Callithrix jacchus: one gene and its partners. The protein of the gene in region 2 binds, or shares a complex with, the protein of the main gene of each other region. Links are inferred from orthologs where the notes say so. Each region holds a gene or a part of one and is shown on either strand. Other genes may lie near its edges.

The links. The genes of interacting proteins can lie anywhere in the genome.
Region 1: the proteins of LCK (region 2) and CD4 are in contact, whole or in part, in an NMR structure (PDB 1Q68), measured with the Homo sapiens proteins. The link is inferred for Callithrix jacchus from reciprocal best matches to the Homo sapiens genes LCK and CD4. Residues at the interface, in NP_001036236.1 of Homo sapiens: Glu15, Ile17, Val19, Cys20, Asn22, Cys23, Tyr25, Pro26, Ile27, Val28; in NP_000607.1 of Homo sapiens: Ala429, Arg431, Ile435, Leu438, Leu439, Lys443, Thr444, Cys445, Gln446, Cys447.
Region 3: the proteins of LCK (region 2) and CD8A are in contact, whole or in part, in an NMR structure (PDB 1Q69), measured with the Homo sapiens proteins. The link is inferred for Callithrix jacchus from reciprocal best matches to the Homo sapiens genes LCK and CD8A. Residues at the interface, in NP_001036236.1 of Homo sapiens: Cys20, Asn22, Cys23, Tyr25, Pro26, Ile27, Val28; in NP_001139345.1 of Homo sapiens: Arg212, Arg213, Val214, Cys215, Lys216, Cys217.

Annotation. Positions count from the first base shown.
Region 1 is NC_133510.1:21,059,681-21,064,264, reverse strand, and holds the start of CD4 (T-cell surface glycoprotein CD4), read right to left. Parts: upstream 2,991-4,584; 5' UTR 2,881-2,990; coding exon 2,867-2,880; intron 1-2,866. UniProt on the Homo sapiens protein: Integral membrane glycoprotein that plays an essential role in the immune response and serves multiple functions in responses against both external and internal offenses.
Region 2 is NC_133508.1:68,884,486-68,888,968, reverse strand, and holds the start of LCK (tyrosine-protein kinase Lck), read right to left. Parts: upstream 3,110-4,483; 5' UTR 3,033-3,109; coding exon 2,796-3,032; intron 2,498-2,795; coding exon 2,416-2,497; intron 2,250-2,415; coding exon 2,159-2,249; intron 1,927-2,158; coding exon 1,828-1,926; intron 1,678-1,827; coding exon 1,574-1,677; intron 1,376-1,573; coding exon 1,226-1,375; intron 856-1,225; coding exon 703-855; intron 586-702; coding exon 406-585; intron 1-405. UniProt on the Homo sapiens protein: Non-receptor tyrosine-protein kinase that plays an essential role in the selection and maturation of developing T-cells in the thymus and in the function of mature T-cells. Plays a key role in T-cell antigen receptor (TCR)-linked signal transduction pathways.
Region 3 is NC_133515.1:26,203,803-26,208,397, forward strand, and holds the start of CD8A (T-cell surface glycoprotein CD8 alpha chain), read left to right. Parts: upstream 1-1,605; 5' UTR 1,606-1,714; coding exon 1,715-1,763; intron 1,764-1,844; coding exon 1,845-2,198; intron 2,199-2,752; coding exon 2,753-2,863; intron 2,864-3,070; coding exon 3,071-3,181; intron 3,182-3,910; coding exon 3,911-3,941; intron 3,942-4,595. UniProt on the Homo sapiens protein: Integral membrane glycoprotein that plays an essential role in the immune response and serves multiple functions in responses against both external and internal offenses. In T-cells, functions primarily as a coreceptor for MHC class I molecule:peptide complex.

The DNA of each region.
Region 1 (4,584 bases), on a different chromosome or scaffold from region 2:
GGGACACTGTGGACAAAGGGAAATGGACAGATTTCCCCAGAATGCACAGAGGCCTCAAGGGAGGAGGGGAGGAATAGATGTGGGAGGGAGACCTGGAGCAGCTTGTTAAAGCAACAGCTACACACACACAATCCACAACCACATGCAAAGCGCAGGGTACTACAAAAAAGAGGAAAAGAAGACATGCTGAGAAGCAAGACAGACGCACAGAGCGGAGACCCAAAGTGAGGCAAAGAGAGACCGAGATAGAGACGAGACCAAAATGGCAACACACTCCATGCACTCTCGCAGAGCCTTGAGGTTCCCGCCGCCCTCACCCCTGGCCCCCCAGGGATGGGACGAGGAGCGAGACTTGGGAGAGGAAGAGAGCCCACCTCCGCCACAGCGAAAGTCTGTGGTCCTACAGGCACTTTTATCTTCTCCCCATAACCCCCAAGCAACCCACTTAAGCGCAGCCACGGGATGCGCCCCACCATGTTCACCCTCTCTACTGCTGACTGGCTTCCTAGAAACTTCCTGGGGACTGTGACCCCTCTAAGGAACTCTTGTGGTTGGTGGCTGCAACCTCCGCCATCCTCTTCTTCGCCTCAGACACCCACATCGAGGGAACTGTGCCCACCCTCCTCCCCTCCTCCCCTCATCCCCGCAAAGGTACAGAACGGAGCTCAACCTCAGAGCTTTGCAAACCCAGACCCCTGCCCGTCTATCTCTGATTCCCCACCTTCATCAAAGTTATTTTGAGACAGGGCCTCACTCTCGCCTACGCTAGCACGCGATGCAGTGGCACAATCAGGGCTCATTGCAGCCTCCGTCTCCCAGGCTCAAGCAATCTTCCCACCTCAGCCTCTCAAGTAGCTGGAACCACAGGCACACACTACCATGCCCAGCTAACTTTTGTATTTTTTGTAGAGATAGGGGTTTCATTATGTTGCCCAGGCTGGTCTCAAACTCCTAGGCTCAAGTCATCCTCATGCCTTGGCCTCCCAAAGGGCTGGGATTACAGGTGTGGGCCAACTCGCCCAGCCCATCAAAGTTATTTGATTCAACAAATATTTGCTGAGTGTCTAAAATGTGTAAGACTGGCCCGGTGGTGGCTCACATCTGTAATCCCAGCACTTTGGGAGGCCAAGAAGGGCAGATCACTTGAGGTCAGGAGTTTGAGACCAGCCTGGCTAATATAGTGTAACCCTGTCTCTACTAAAAATACAAAAATTAGCCGGGCATGATGACAGACACCTGTAATCCCAGCTACTTGAAAGGCTGAGGCAGGAGAATCACTTGAACCTGGGAGGCAGAGGCTGCAGTGAGTCAAGATCACGCCATTGCACTCCAGCCCAGGCGACAGAGTGACACTCTGTCTCAAAAATAGTAAGAATAAATAAATAAAATGTGCAAGACAATTGATCTAGCCAATTCCCCTCAGCACCACCCCGCCATTACGGCCAGGGCCAGGGCCTAGGGCGGCCCTAAAGGCTCTGCCTAGCACCCTTGGTGGGAAGAGGGAAATCATCTCTCAAATGTCTCTAACGCTGTCCTCATGGGCTCTTTCATCTGACTTTGAAGGCGGCAGCCATTTTGTATCAGCCTACAGCATCTGATACAGCACAGGAATTATCTGTCAAAATGTGAAGTAGCAGTGACCTCCGCCATCAGGACCTACTCTTAGCCCACTAAAAATGTGCCCCATAAAAGCAGGGCACTCAGGAAGCACTATCCCACTCAGAGCGAAAGCTTCTAATTATTGAGAATGGGGCCTTTCCATGTTAAGGGATCAGACTGTGCCCCAGGAACCCTCTCTCCCAGAAAAAGCTTATGAGGGGAAAAGCAGAGGACACTGGGGATAGCATGGCTTCAAGGAGCTGGAAAGTTCTGAGGTGAAGAGGCTGAGATTGTACAGGGCTTCCGGTCAAGAGGGATAGAGTCCGCCCTCTCGCTCACACCCGGCCAGGCCCAGGCGGGGCTCCACGCCCTTCTCAACTCTCCTGGCCTTGGGAGACCCCCACCGCCAATTCTCTTCGAATCCATTTCTTAAATGACATATTCATCTAAAGATACACATCTGTCACATTTACGGCATTTCACACGCAAAAGCTCAGTTTGAACACCTTCTGAGAATTTTAGCTTTCCTATTTCATGAATTATTTTAAAGCTATCTAGAAAAGTGTCTTTAGACATTGTTCAAAAATCTTAAAAGAGCAAAAAAGTAGACAAAAATTTTTAAATACACACATAAGCACAAAAGGTAGTTAAAAGAGACTATTACATAGATCATGTGACTTATGAAATGCTGCTCATATGATACTTCGTGTAAATGTTTGGAGATCGCACCATCAGGAAAAGTGATTTTGCAGGAATTTTCTCTAGACTAGCTTCTGCTTCTTTTTGTCTTTTTCTTGCTTTTGTCGTTTTTCCTCATCATTTCGTTTTTATGGGTTTCCTCCCATCTTATATTTATTCTTTCTGATGTTTCCCTCCCCTCATTCACTCTTTTTCTCCTCTTTTCCCCTCTTCCAGTCTTCTCTCCTCCACCGCCCATGACTAGTTACCTCCCACACCTTTCCCAGCCTGGGGTAGTCTCCAGCCCTCACTCTCTCTCTGATATTGCCATTCCGGTCAATACTCCTCTGAGGAGCACCCGCTGCTCTGGGCACTGAGCTGTGCACACCGGGGCTGCAGAGAGCAGTCTGGCACAGCCCCTGACCTCTGAAGCTCGCAGTTCTGGTGGAAGATTGCTGCTCATGATCCGTTCCAAAAGAAATGCAAGGGAAGGTGGGCAGACAACTGGGCAGAGCACGTTCCTGTGCATCTGCCCCACGTTCCCCTCCCTCCCAGCTCCAGGGAAAGAAGCCGAGTCTGACCATCTTACCTCTGGCCTTGCATCTTTCTTGCCCTCTGCTTCTCAAAAAAGGTGTCTCTGTGTGAGGACTTGGAGCTCTGCAGCCAGGAGCCCAATGGGGAGGGTGCTTTGTTTCTTCTGCAGAGTCGTGCTTAAATGAAGAGAGACAGGAAGCCCAATGGGGAGGCTCCTCCACACCCTAGGCCTGGGCTGGCCCTCCACGTCACCACCTGGAGCTGGGGTCCCCACCCCCGGCTCTCAGAAAACATCTCAAAGTGAAAATGCCAAAGTCAAGGGAAAAAGTTCAGCAGAATCAGGCTGGAGCCACAGTGCCACTGCCACTGTTAAGTGGCAAGAAAAGGATTGCAAGAAAGATTCCACCAGTGACACTATCGTATCTGACCAGAAGTGGGAGGTAGCTGGGGGCATACGGGAACAGCCGTGGCAAGTCCACAAATAGCTCCTCGCTCCGGGGCCCTGAGGGCCTGTGTTCAGTGGCTGCCTCCAGGGGTATCGGTGGGGGCTTTGTAGGTGGCCCAGTGTGGAAGAGAGGGTGTGGGCTGAGCAGAGGATACCTGAGACACCAGGAGTGACTGTGAACCAGACTCTGTTCCTCTGGGCGTCTCTGGCCGGGCCTTAAACGCTTTCCTTTAGCCCATATCTCTCGTGGGCTCCAGATGTGGGTATCCACCAGCGCATTGGACATCTCCATTGGGAAGCTCACCGGCCATAGCAAACTCAACATATCCCCAACTAAACATACCACCTGCATACCGCCACCCTCCAGACCTGCAGCATGTAGTACTGTGTGCTGCTTCTCATTTCATGGCTACTGTACTCAAGGGTTGAGATTTAATAACATTAGTATTTACTACTTCATCATTAAGGGCATTTTTTTTTTTTTTTGAGACAGAGTCTTGCTCTGTCACCAAGCTGGAGTTAAGTGACGAGATCTCAGCTCACTGCAACCTCTGCCTCCCGGGTTCAAGGGATTCTTCTGCTTTAGCCTCCCAAGTAGCTGGGAACTACAAGTGCACCATCATACCCAGCTAATTTTTGTATTTTTTTGTTTGTTTTTAGGTGGAGTTTCGCTCTTGTTGCCCAGGCTGGAGTGCAATGGCCCAGTCTCAGCTCACTGCAACCTCCACTTCCCGGGTTCAAGCAATTCTCCTGCCTCAGCCTCCAGAGTAGCTGGGATTACAAATGCCCACCACCATGTCCAGCTAATTTTTTTTGTTTTTTTGTATTTTTAGTAGAGATGGGGTTTCACCAAGTTGGCCAGGCTGGTCTTGAATGAGAGCCACTGAGCCTGCCCATTTTTTTTTCTGCCTGAGATGGAGTCTTGCTCTGCTGCCCAGGCTGGAGTGCAGTGGCGTGATCTCTGCGCATTGCAACCTCTGCCTCCTGGGTTCAAGTCAGTCTCGTGCCTCAGCCTCCAGGTATGTGGCACCACGCCCGACTAATTTTTTGTATTTTTAGTGGAGATGGTGTTTCACTGTGTTAGCCAGGATGGTCTCGATCTCCTGACTTCTTGATCTGCCCACCTCTGCCTCCCAAAGTGCTGGGATTACAGGCATAAGCCACCGTGCCTGGCCTCATTAAGGGCATGATTAAGTAAAACTGCCATTACTATTTTTCTTCTTTTTTACTGTAAGTACCTGGCAGTGAAGAGTGCGGTGACTATCATATGGTTTGGTGCCACTGCCTTCATTTATGCTAAGGCAGCAGTTTTATCCAGATTGCTTTTG
Region 2 (4,483 bases):
CAGACCAGGAGGGGTGCAGGGATAGGGGCTCACTCAGAACTGAAACAGAGGGCTTCCCAAGGCTCAGGGGCAGAAGGGAGAGAAACGGGGCTGGGACCCACTTGCTTTCTGAGATCAAGCATCCTGAGATCGAAGTAGGGCTTTGAAGAAGGCAAACAGAATGGTAGGTCAGGGAGGACTGGGGTGAATGGTCTTCCAAAACATTCTTGCCACCTTAGGCTGGTCCCCAGACAGGATCAGAGGATACACCTTCTTCTCATGTCTGGAGGTGAGTCTAGGGGCCAGGAAAGCTCAAGAAACCCTTCCTGCTTGAGCTTTGCGCCAGGAGTAAAGGTGTATTTCCACCCTCCAGCAGAGAAGGTGGGGAGAGCAGAGTCCCCCCGCGGCAACTCAGGCGGCACCCACCATTCTCCATGTATTCAGTGATGATGTAGATGGGCTCCTGGGTGACCACAGCGTAGAGGCGAACCAGCCGCTGGTGTTGCAGCTGCTTCATGAGGTTAGCCTCTGCCAGGAAGGCATCCGGGGACATGCTGCCCTGCTTCAGGCTCTTCACCGCCACCTTTGTGTGCTCGTTGTAGTACCCTGGGTCAGGGGAGGGAAGGACTGGGAGGCTCACCAGGCAGCTGTCCTGGGTCTCTCACCACCTCTGCAGCCCCTCCCGTTCCCCTCTTCCCAGGCAGTCCTGGAGGCCACACTCACCCATCCACACCTCCCCGAACTGTCCAGCCCCCAGCCGCTCCACCAGCTTCAGCGTCTCCCTGGGAACCTCCCACTCATCCTCCCACCAGGGCTTCTGGGGCTTCTGGGTCTGACAGGGGCGGCTCAGCCGTGTGCACAACCCATCTGAAGCATCTGCGAGGACAAGGGAGTGGGGAAGGTGGTCTTGTATTGACACCACCTCCGCCACTTCTCCAAGCCCACATCCAGGGGAAGTGGACTAGCAAAAACCACCTCCCCCACTTCTCCAAGTCCCCACCCAGGGGAAGTGGACTAGCAAAAACCACCTCCCCCACTTCTCCAAGCCCCCTATCCAGGGAAAGTAGACTAGCAGGCAGGTGTGGGGCTGTCACCCAAACCCTTGGGGCCGTAGGGTTCCACGGTTCCACACCTCACCCACTGCGGGGAATGGAGGAGCGCATTGAAAGATGGTTGGGGGACACCCGAAGGGGACTGAGGGAAGATGGGCTGATAGGGCACTGGGAAGGGGTCCCGCCAGGCTCACTGGTGTAATGGCGGACCAGTTCATGCAAGCCGGGAAAAGTGATTCGCGGGGAGATGTAGAAGCCACCGTTGTCCAGATTACGGATCTTGTAATGTTTCACCACCTCTCCCTGGTTCTGGTCAAAGTCCCGGACCGACAGTGAAAATGATCCTGAATAAATGAATGGATGGATAAAGGAACGAAAGAACGCAGAGTCTGGCCCGCCACCACGGCCCCCACCTCAGGCTCACCCCGCGCGCCCCACTCCGGCTCACCCCACGCCCCCACCTCGAGCTCACCCCCTCGCCTCCCTTTGGCTCACCCCGCGGCCCCCACCCCCGCGCCGGGTCGAGGCCGCCGCCCGCTCACCCGCGGTGCTCTCGCTCTCCCGGATGAGGAAGGAGCCGTGAGTGTTCCCTGGCGCCAGGAGCTGCCGCTCCGCATCCTTGCGGCTCAGGTTCTTGAAGAACCAGCTGTGCAGGGCGGAAGCCAACACAGGCCATCGGCTGTTGTCGAATCTTCCTCCGTGGCCCTCAAGCCTTCACCGCCACCCCAGGCCCACTCCCTGCTCCAGGATCCCTGGATCTGCTTCCATCCCCCCTCCACGACGGGACCCCACTCACGGTTCGGGCTCCAGGCTGTTCGCTTTGGCCACAAAATTGAAGGGGACGAAGCCTTCCTGGCCCGTGGTCAGGGACTGCGCCTTCCACCACTCGCCGTTCCTGCGCCACGGAGGCGGGTCAGTGCGGCCCACTCAGCCGTTGATCTGAGGCTATCCCTCAAAGACCCCCCAACCCTGAAGCCAGCCTCCCGAACCCTGGCTCCGCACTCCTGAGCCTCGAATTTTGTCCCAAGGGCGGCCACCCTAGCCAGTCAAGGGCCGCAGGAGGGCTGCGGTACCGGAGATCCCCGCTCCCTCACGGACTCCCCAGAGCAAGGTGGTCAGGGACTCACTGCTCCAGGATTCGGAGCTGTTCCCCTTTCTCAAAGCCCAGGTCTCCGTCGTGAGAGGGCTTGTAGCTGTGCAGGGCAATAACCAGGTTGTCTGTAAAGACAAGCGGCATCAGGGAGAACCGGCCTGAGATGGGCAGGAAGCCTGGAGTTATGGGGCAGGCGACAAGGAAGGCAGGACAAGGGAGAGAGTAGGTGGGGAGGAGGTGGAAGCCGACAGCGAGGGATCTTGTTTTTCAAGCCCTGCTGCCTGGGGTCACCTTGCAGTGGGGAGGCCGGCGGATTGGAGCCCTCGTAGGTGACCAGTGGGTCCCGAACCTCAGAGCCGTTTCGGAAGAGCAGCTGTGGGGTGGGGGATGAAGAGTGGAGTCAGAGAGCAGAAGACTGGGTCAGACCCTGGCCCCCTTCCCCTCTGCTCTCAGCCTTTCCGCCTGGTTGGGTCTTATCCCTGAATTGATCAACTGCTTGCTGTGTGATCTTAGGAGAGTCCCTTTCCCTCTCTGGGCCTCTTTTCCTTTCCTGTATTCCAGGGGAGAGGGCCGCTCTATTCTTTCAAGGGCCTGTATCGCTGGTCATTTCTTCCTCCTGGGTTGCATGGTCTACCCAACTCCCTCACTAAGGCCCCTGTCTTGCCTCTTACCGTGGCCTTGCCATCCAGTGGGACTATGGGATAATGGCAGTTCTCACACACATCGATGTTCTCCATCCAGTCATCTTCCGGGTGTGAGCTGCAGCCACAGCCCATGGTCCCTGAGGGAATGGAGAAGGGGGCTGAAGGGGCTCCCCCAAGATCTGCTCCCCCAGCATCAGACATCATGGGGCCTTGCCCTGGAAACTTCCAAAAGTACCTGAGATCGTGAGATCCTGGGATCCCCATTCACCAGCCACAGAAAAGGTAAAACAGGGGGTCCCAGCTCCAAACCGGTGCTCCCTCTGAGCCCTCAGGGTACAAGTAAATTCACACAGGCCCCTGAGCCCTAGCCCCACCCTCCCACCTGGGATGGGCAAACTGCCACAGGCACCTTTGTTAGTCTAGTTACCCACTTCCTGCCTCTTCCCCCTCCCTTTCCCTCTGCTGGTACCAGTGTCTGTAGGGAGGACTACCTTCTGAAGATGACACACACTTCCCCAAGCCTGGGGGAGACCTCACTCCATCAGACTCTCCCTTACTGGAGAGATGTGCATGCCCCACCCACCTCCTTTTATAATTCCCCTGTCTAGCTGAAGAGGCTGAGAAAGAGACTTCCACTCCCAAGGTCTGCCATCAGGCCCCGCGCTCCCCACACAACCCCAGAGTCAAGTCACAGTGTTTCTTCAAACATGGGCCTGCTCCTCCCCAGCACAAAACCTCCCAGTGGCTCTGTGGGCCATAACTCTTTTTGTTTATTTGCCTGTTTTAGCAGTGGAACTTTTTTGTCTGATGAAATCAAGCAGAACTCCATAGATAAGGTGATAAAAAGTGGGCCTGAAGCAGAGTGAGGGCCTTGCTTTGAAGCTCCTGGAGTCCCCACAACTCCTCCTTCTCTAGCGCGGCTCCTTAGAGCACTTGGAAAGCTCTGTCCTCGAATAAAGTTTAATGTTTCGTGCATTCCAGACCTCGCATATCAAGATCAAATCTACCTCCAAAGTCCATTCCGCTACACAAACACTCTCACACACACACACACACACACACACACCTTATATACACACACACCCTACACACACACAGGCACCCACTACCCCACCCCCCACACAGAGGCATCCACACTCACACACACAGAGGCAGGCACACACACACTCTCTCTCTCACACACACACAGGCACCTCTACCCCACCCCCCACACAGACACATTTACACTCACACACGCAGGCACACACACACACACACTCACATACACACAAACACCCCCACACACACACATTCACACACAGACTCATTCCCCCAATACACAGGCACCACACACACACATACTCACATAAACACATACACTCATCCCACCCACAAGTACACACACACACACACACTCACACACAGGTATCCACACACATAGTCACATACACACCCTATACACACAGGCACCCACACCCATGAACACACACACCCACATACACACACATACACAGGAACCAACACCCACACAAATGCACTCATCCAACACACATCTCACCCTAGGTTCCCCCTCCCACACACACATTCATACACACACAGGCACCTCCACACTAACACAAACACCTACAGTCACCCCCACACACCCACATCCATACACACACACACTCACATCCCCAGACACACACACAGGCACTGGCATCCCCTCCACACACACCCCCACATACCCACACTCACAC
Region 3 (4,595 bases), on a different chromosome or scaffold from region 2:
GGTGCAGCCACTATGGAATTCAAAGTGAAAAGACTCAAAAACCCTGAAGAAATGGGAAGAGGGCATGCCACTGGGGATAGAAGGTTTCAGGACAGCAATAGACAAAAAAGAAGGATGAGCCTATAGTCCCAGCTACTCAGGAGACTGAGGCGGGAGGATCACTGGAGCTCAGGAGTCCCAAGCTCAGCCTGAGCAAAATAATGAGACTCTAACCTTTTTTTTTTCTTTCTTTTTTTAAGGGAAACAAAAGGGAAGGGGACCACACACATGTACCAGGGATAGAAGAGAGAAAAACACCTCCACCAAACATTCACCCATGTCATCCATGCCTCTCTGCAGAGCACCCAGAGCTGGGGGCAAAAGAAATGAGGTCCAAGTGAGACAGCACAGGAGCTGGCTCCAGGGCTTAAACAGACCAGTATCCCTGGTCTGTTAGGGACTGTAAGTGCAAGGGTGTGAAAGCACAGAGGGCAGTGGTTGGATGACTTCAAGCCTGTAAAGCTGCAGCTGCAGGTGTATGGGAAGGGCAGGGCAGGGGGCTGTGCAGAGGCTGGGAGGAGCCAGCACCCTAGGCCTGGTCAACGAACCTGGGGTTGAGTTTCCATCCAGCAATGCAGACCATGGGAGGCTGCAGGAGTGACGTTGTCAGATCCCCTTTATGAGAATAATAATTTTTTTGGGGGGGATGGGGTTTTGCTCTTGTTGCCTAGGCTGGGATGCAGTGGCACAATCTTGGCTCACCTGCAACCTCCGCCTCCCGAGTTCAAGAGATCCTCCTGCCTCAGCCTCCCACGTAGCTGGGATTATAGGCACCTGCCATCATGCCCGGCTAATTTTGTATTTTTAGTAGAGGCGGGGTTTCTCCATGCTGGTTAGGCTGGTCTCGAACTCCCGACCTCAGGTGATCCCTCCGCCTCGGCCTCCCAAAGTGCTGGAATTACAGGGAGAATAATAATTTTTATAACAACGTGTCTGGAAGACAAGTCAGGAGAGAGACTGGTGTGGAGGCTCTTGCAACGGCCGCAAGAAGAGTTGAGGCTGTGTGGTGAGTTTAGCCGCTAGGCGAAAGCCCGGAAGGGTGAGGTCAGCAGCGCCACCCAAGGCTTCGGCTGCTGCCGCCCTCATGGAAATCTCCTGGGGGAAGGGAGAGGGCCCTTCCTCGGTGTTCTGCCCGAGTTCCCGAGAAGCGGGTAGGTTGCTAGCTCTTCTTCCTTTTCAGTCCTCAGTGCCCATTTTGCCGATAAAAAGCCCCAAAGTGACAGTTCAAGAGACGCCTTTAGTTAAGGCAAAGGAAGGGACACTCCCCTCCTTTCCTGCCTGCTCTCGCCCTCACTTGAAACCTTTGGTCTCTCTTCACCCACTCTGTCAATGTCACAAGGCAGCCATTTCCAAGGACTATTTCCAAGCCCTTTTCCTCGTTCCCAAACCCGCAGTTTTCAACTGTCCCCAGCTGCATCGCCAGGCTGCCTCGACGGCCCCACTCACGGCCCCCAGTCTCTTCAGAAGGCGACAACCGCGAAAAGGAGGGTGACTCTCCCCGGCGGGGGCTTCAGGTGACATCACATCCTTCAAATGCGAAATTAGTCTCCGGGCAGGTCGAAGGGCGAAACTCCCCCCACCCCCGCCGCCCCGCTGTGCGCCCCACCGACTCCCGCTCGCCTCTCCTCGCGCCCGAGCTTCGAGCCGACCCTCGCAGTGTCCTGGGGAGGGCGTCATGGCCTCGCCAGTGACCGCCTTGCTCCTGCCGCTGGCCATGCTGCTCCGTGAGTTTGCGACCCCCGGGAAGGCAGGGGGTGGGGCGGTCGGGGGGCGCGGGACTCAGCCTCGCTGTCTGCTGCCTCCAGATGCTGCCAGGCCCAGCCGGTTCCGGGTGTCGCCGCTGGATCGGACCTGGAACTTGGGCGACACGGTGGAGCTGAAGTGCGAGGTGCTGCTGTCCAACCCGGCCTCCGGCTGCTCGTGGCTCTTTCAGCCGCGCGGCGCTGCCGCCAGCCCCAACTTCCTCCTATACATCTCCCAAACCAAGTCCAAGGTGGCCGATGGGCTGGACACCCAGCGATACTCCGGCAAGAAGATGGGGGACAGCTTCATTCTCACCCTGAGCGACTTCCGAGAGGAGAACCAGGGCTACTATTTCTGCTCGGCCCTGAGAAACTCCATCATGTACTTCAGCAGCTTCGTGCCGGTCTTCCTGCCAGGTCCGGGCGCGGGGTGCGGCGCCTCTCCGCGTGGGGCTCGGGGCTCCCCTCACTTTGTTTTCCACACGGAGGCCCTGCTTTCAAGCCTCCTAGAGCACCTGGAACCGACTTGTATACTGTTCCCATTTCACAGACGGGCAAACTGAGGCTAACCTGCGGCTGACTGGGGAATGGAGATGGCTTTTTAGGTCCGGCTGATCTGGGCTCGAGTTCGGATGCTTGCGTGGTTCTGGGCAAACGACTTAAATTCTCTGCGCCTCTGTTTGCTCGTGGGTAAACCAGGGTTGCTGGTTCAGCCCAGGAGAGAGGCCGGGTGCCAGGAAGCGGGCTTCTGCGCTCTGGCCCCGGGCGCCGCGTGCTCAGGGCTGAGCCAGGGAGAAGCACCGGGGTCGGCGAGCATCGCCGGGTCTTCATCCCGTCTCCTCTGCCATCCCTTCTCCCAGGAAAACCCGCGGGGAGGCTCCCCCGTAGGGAAAGGCTCCCGGGGCCAGGCTGGGTAGGGGCCGGTCCATAACCCCAGCCTGGCCCCCCACCACGCTCTATTGCTCCTGCAGCGAAGCCCACCACGACGCCAGCGCCGCGACCACCCACACCGGAGCCCACCACAGCGTCGCAGCCCCTGTCCCTGCGTCCACAGGCTTGCCGGCCAGCGGCGGGGGTCGCAGGTGAGATGTGCGGAGTCCCGGCGCGGGGGCGGCACGGACCGCGGGGAAAGCCCATGCCAGGGGCAGCCCTGATACTGTAGGTAGAGCCGAGGCATGTCCAAGTGGTGGGAAACCGAGACCTGAGGCCAAGAGACGCGTCCGGGACGGTGGGCCGGGTCGGGGGATCCCGGGCCCGCTCCTAAATGTTGTTGTCTTTGGTGTCGTCAGGGGACACGAGGGGGCTGGACTTCGCCTGTGATATCTACATCTGGGTGCCCCTGGCCGGGACCTGCGGGATCCTTCTCCTGTCACTGGTCCTCACCGTTTACTGCAATCACAGTAAGTTCCGAGGAATCGTGGCGAGGATGAGTCCGCCCAGCTCCCGCCAGACCTTGAGGGCGGTGGGTTGAGATTTCTGGGACTCTCGAGCTGCCCCACAGGTACAGGCACTTCTTTCCTGGAGATAGGACGCGAGAGAGCCCTTCCTGCTCCTTCTCGCGCTCTTGGAGAGGTTTTGGGAAGATAAAGCCCTGTTCCCAGAGGGGCTGCAACGGGTGTGTTCCGTCAGCGAAGCCCGCAGCTAGCGCACAGGTCCGGACACAGGACAAACGCTCGCCAGGAGGGGGCCGCCGTGGCCCTGGGTCAAGTGCCCATAAGGGTTAGGTCAAAACCACGACCAGTTCACCCTTGGTTCCCTTCCCGTGAGCCGCCCACCCGCTTTGGGTCCCATGCAGGGGAGGTGCCGGATCAGGTCTACAGGCTCCTCGCGTTCACTCACGTCTATAGTTGCATTTTTTTCTTTAAATTGATGCTTGAGACGAAGGATGGATGAGAAACCCTTACCTGGGTCTCAAGAGTTATAATCCTCAAAGAAATAGGGGAAAGGAAGGAGAAATCGTAGGGGCAATTCGCTATCTGCCCCATCCAATTTCAGCCCATGATCATTCTGAAATAATTTTTTTTTTTTTTTTTGTAAAACCAAAAAACAAAACAAACAAAATACCCCGTCTTTGGGGACTACTGGTGGATGGGGGCACTCACTTTTTCCCTTCTTTCTCCTTTATCCAGGGAACCGAAGACGTGTTTGCAAATGTCCCCGGTGAGTCTCTTTTGAACTCTCAGCCTGCTCACCTTGGGCAGTCCTGGAGTGGGGTCCTGATTTCCGCAGCAGCAAATAGTGGGAACTTTTCCCAAAGGGAGGTCATGGCCGTGGAGTCCTGGGGCAGGGAGTCAGCTCGTTCCAAAGCAAAGAGAAGCTGAGGCTGGCATCTGGCCTGCATCCTTGAGAAAAAGGAGGCCCGGGTTAGGCTGGTGCTGAGAGCAGTGTGACTCCAGTAAATCTCCATCTTATTTGGCCTGGCACTTAAAAAAAAAAAAAGAATGGCTTTGGTTCCTAATTTCTCTGTATCATGTGGGGCCTTGGTTTTCTGCCAAGGACTGGAGTAGAAAAATGGGGAACCAGATGCAGGGACAATTCACTATCTGGCAGCTCAAGTGACTGCCCTATCCAGTTTCAGCCCACGATCATTCTGAAATCATTTAAAAATAAAAAACACATTTTCTGTTAAAAACCTCCTCTCTTCACTCGTTGGCTGAGGCATCCCTGTGGCAGCATCTAACAAGTGCCTGCTGTTGCCAGGCACTGTGATAGGGGTGATACTCCCCAGCTCTCTTAATCCTCACAGCAACCTTGTCCCATCTCACAGCTCATGGGCTCAAGGATTAGGAAACCTACCCAAAGTGGCAACGGCAG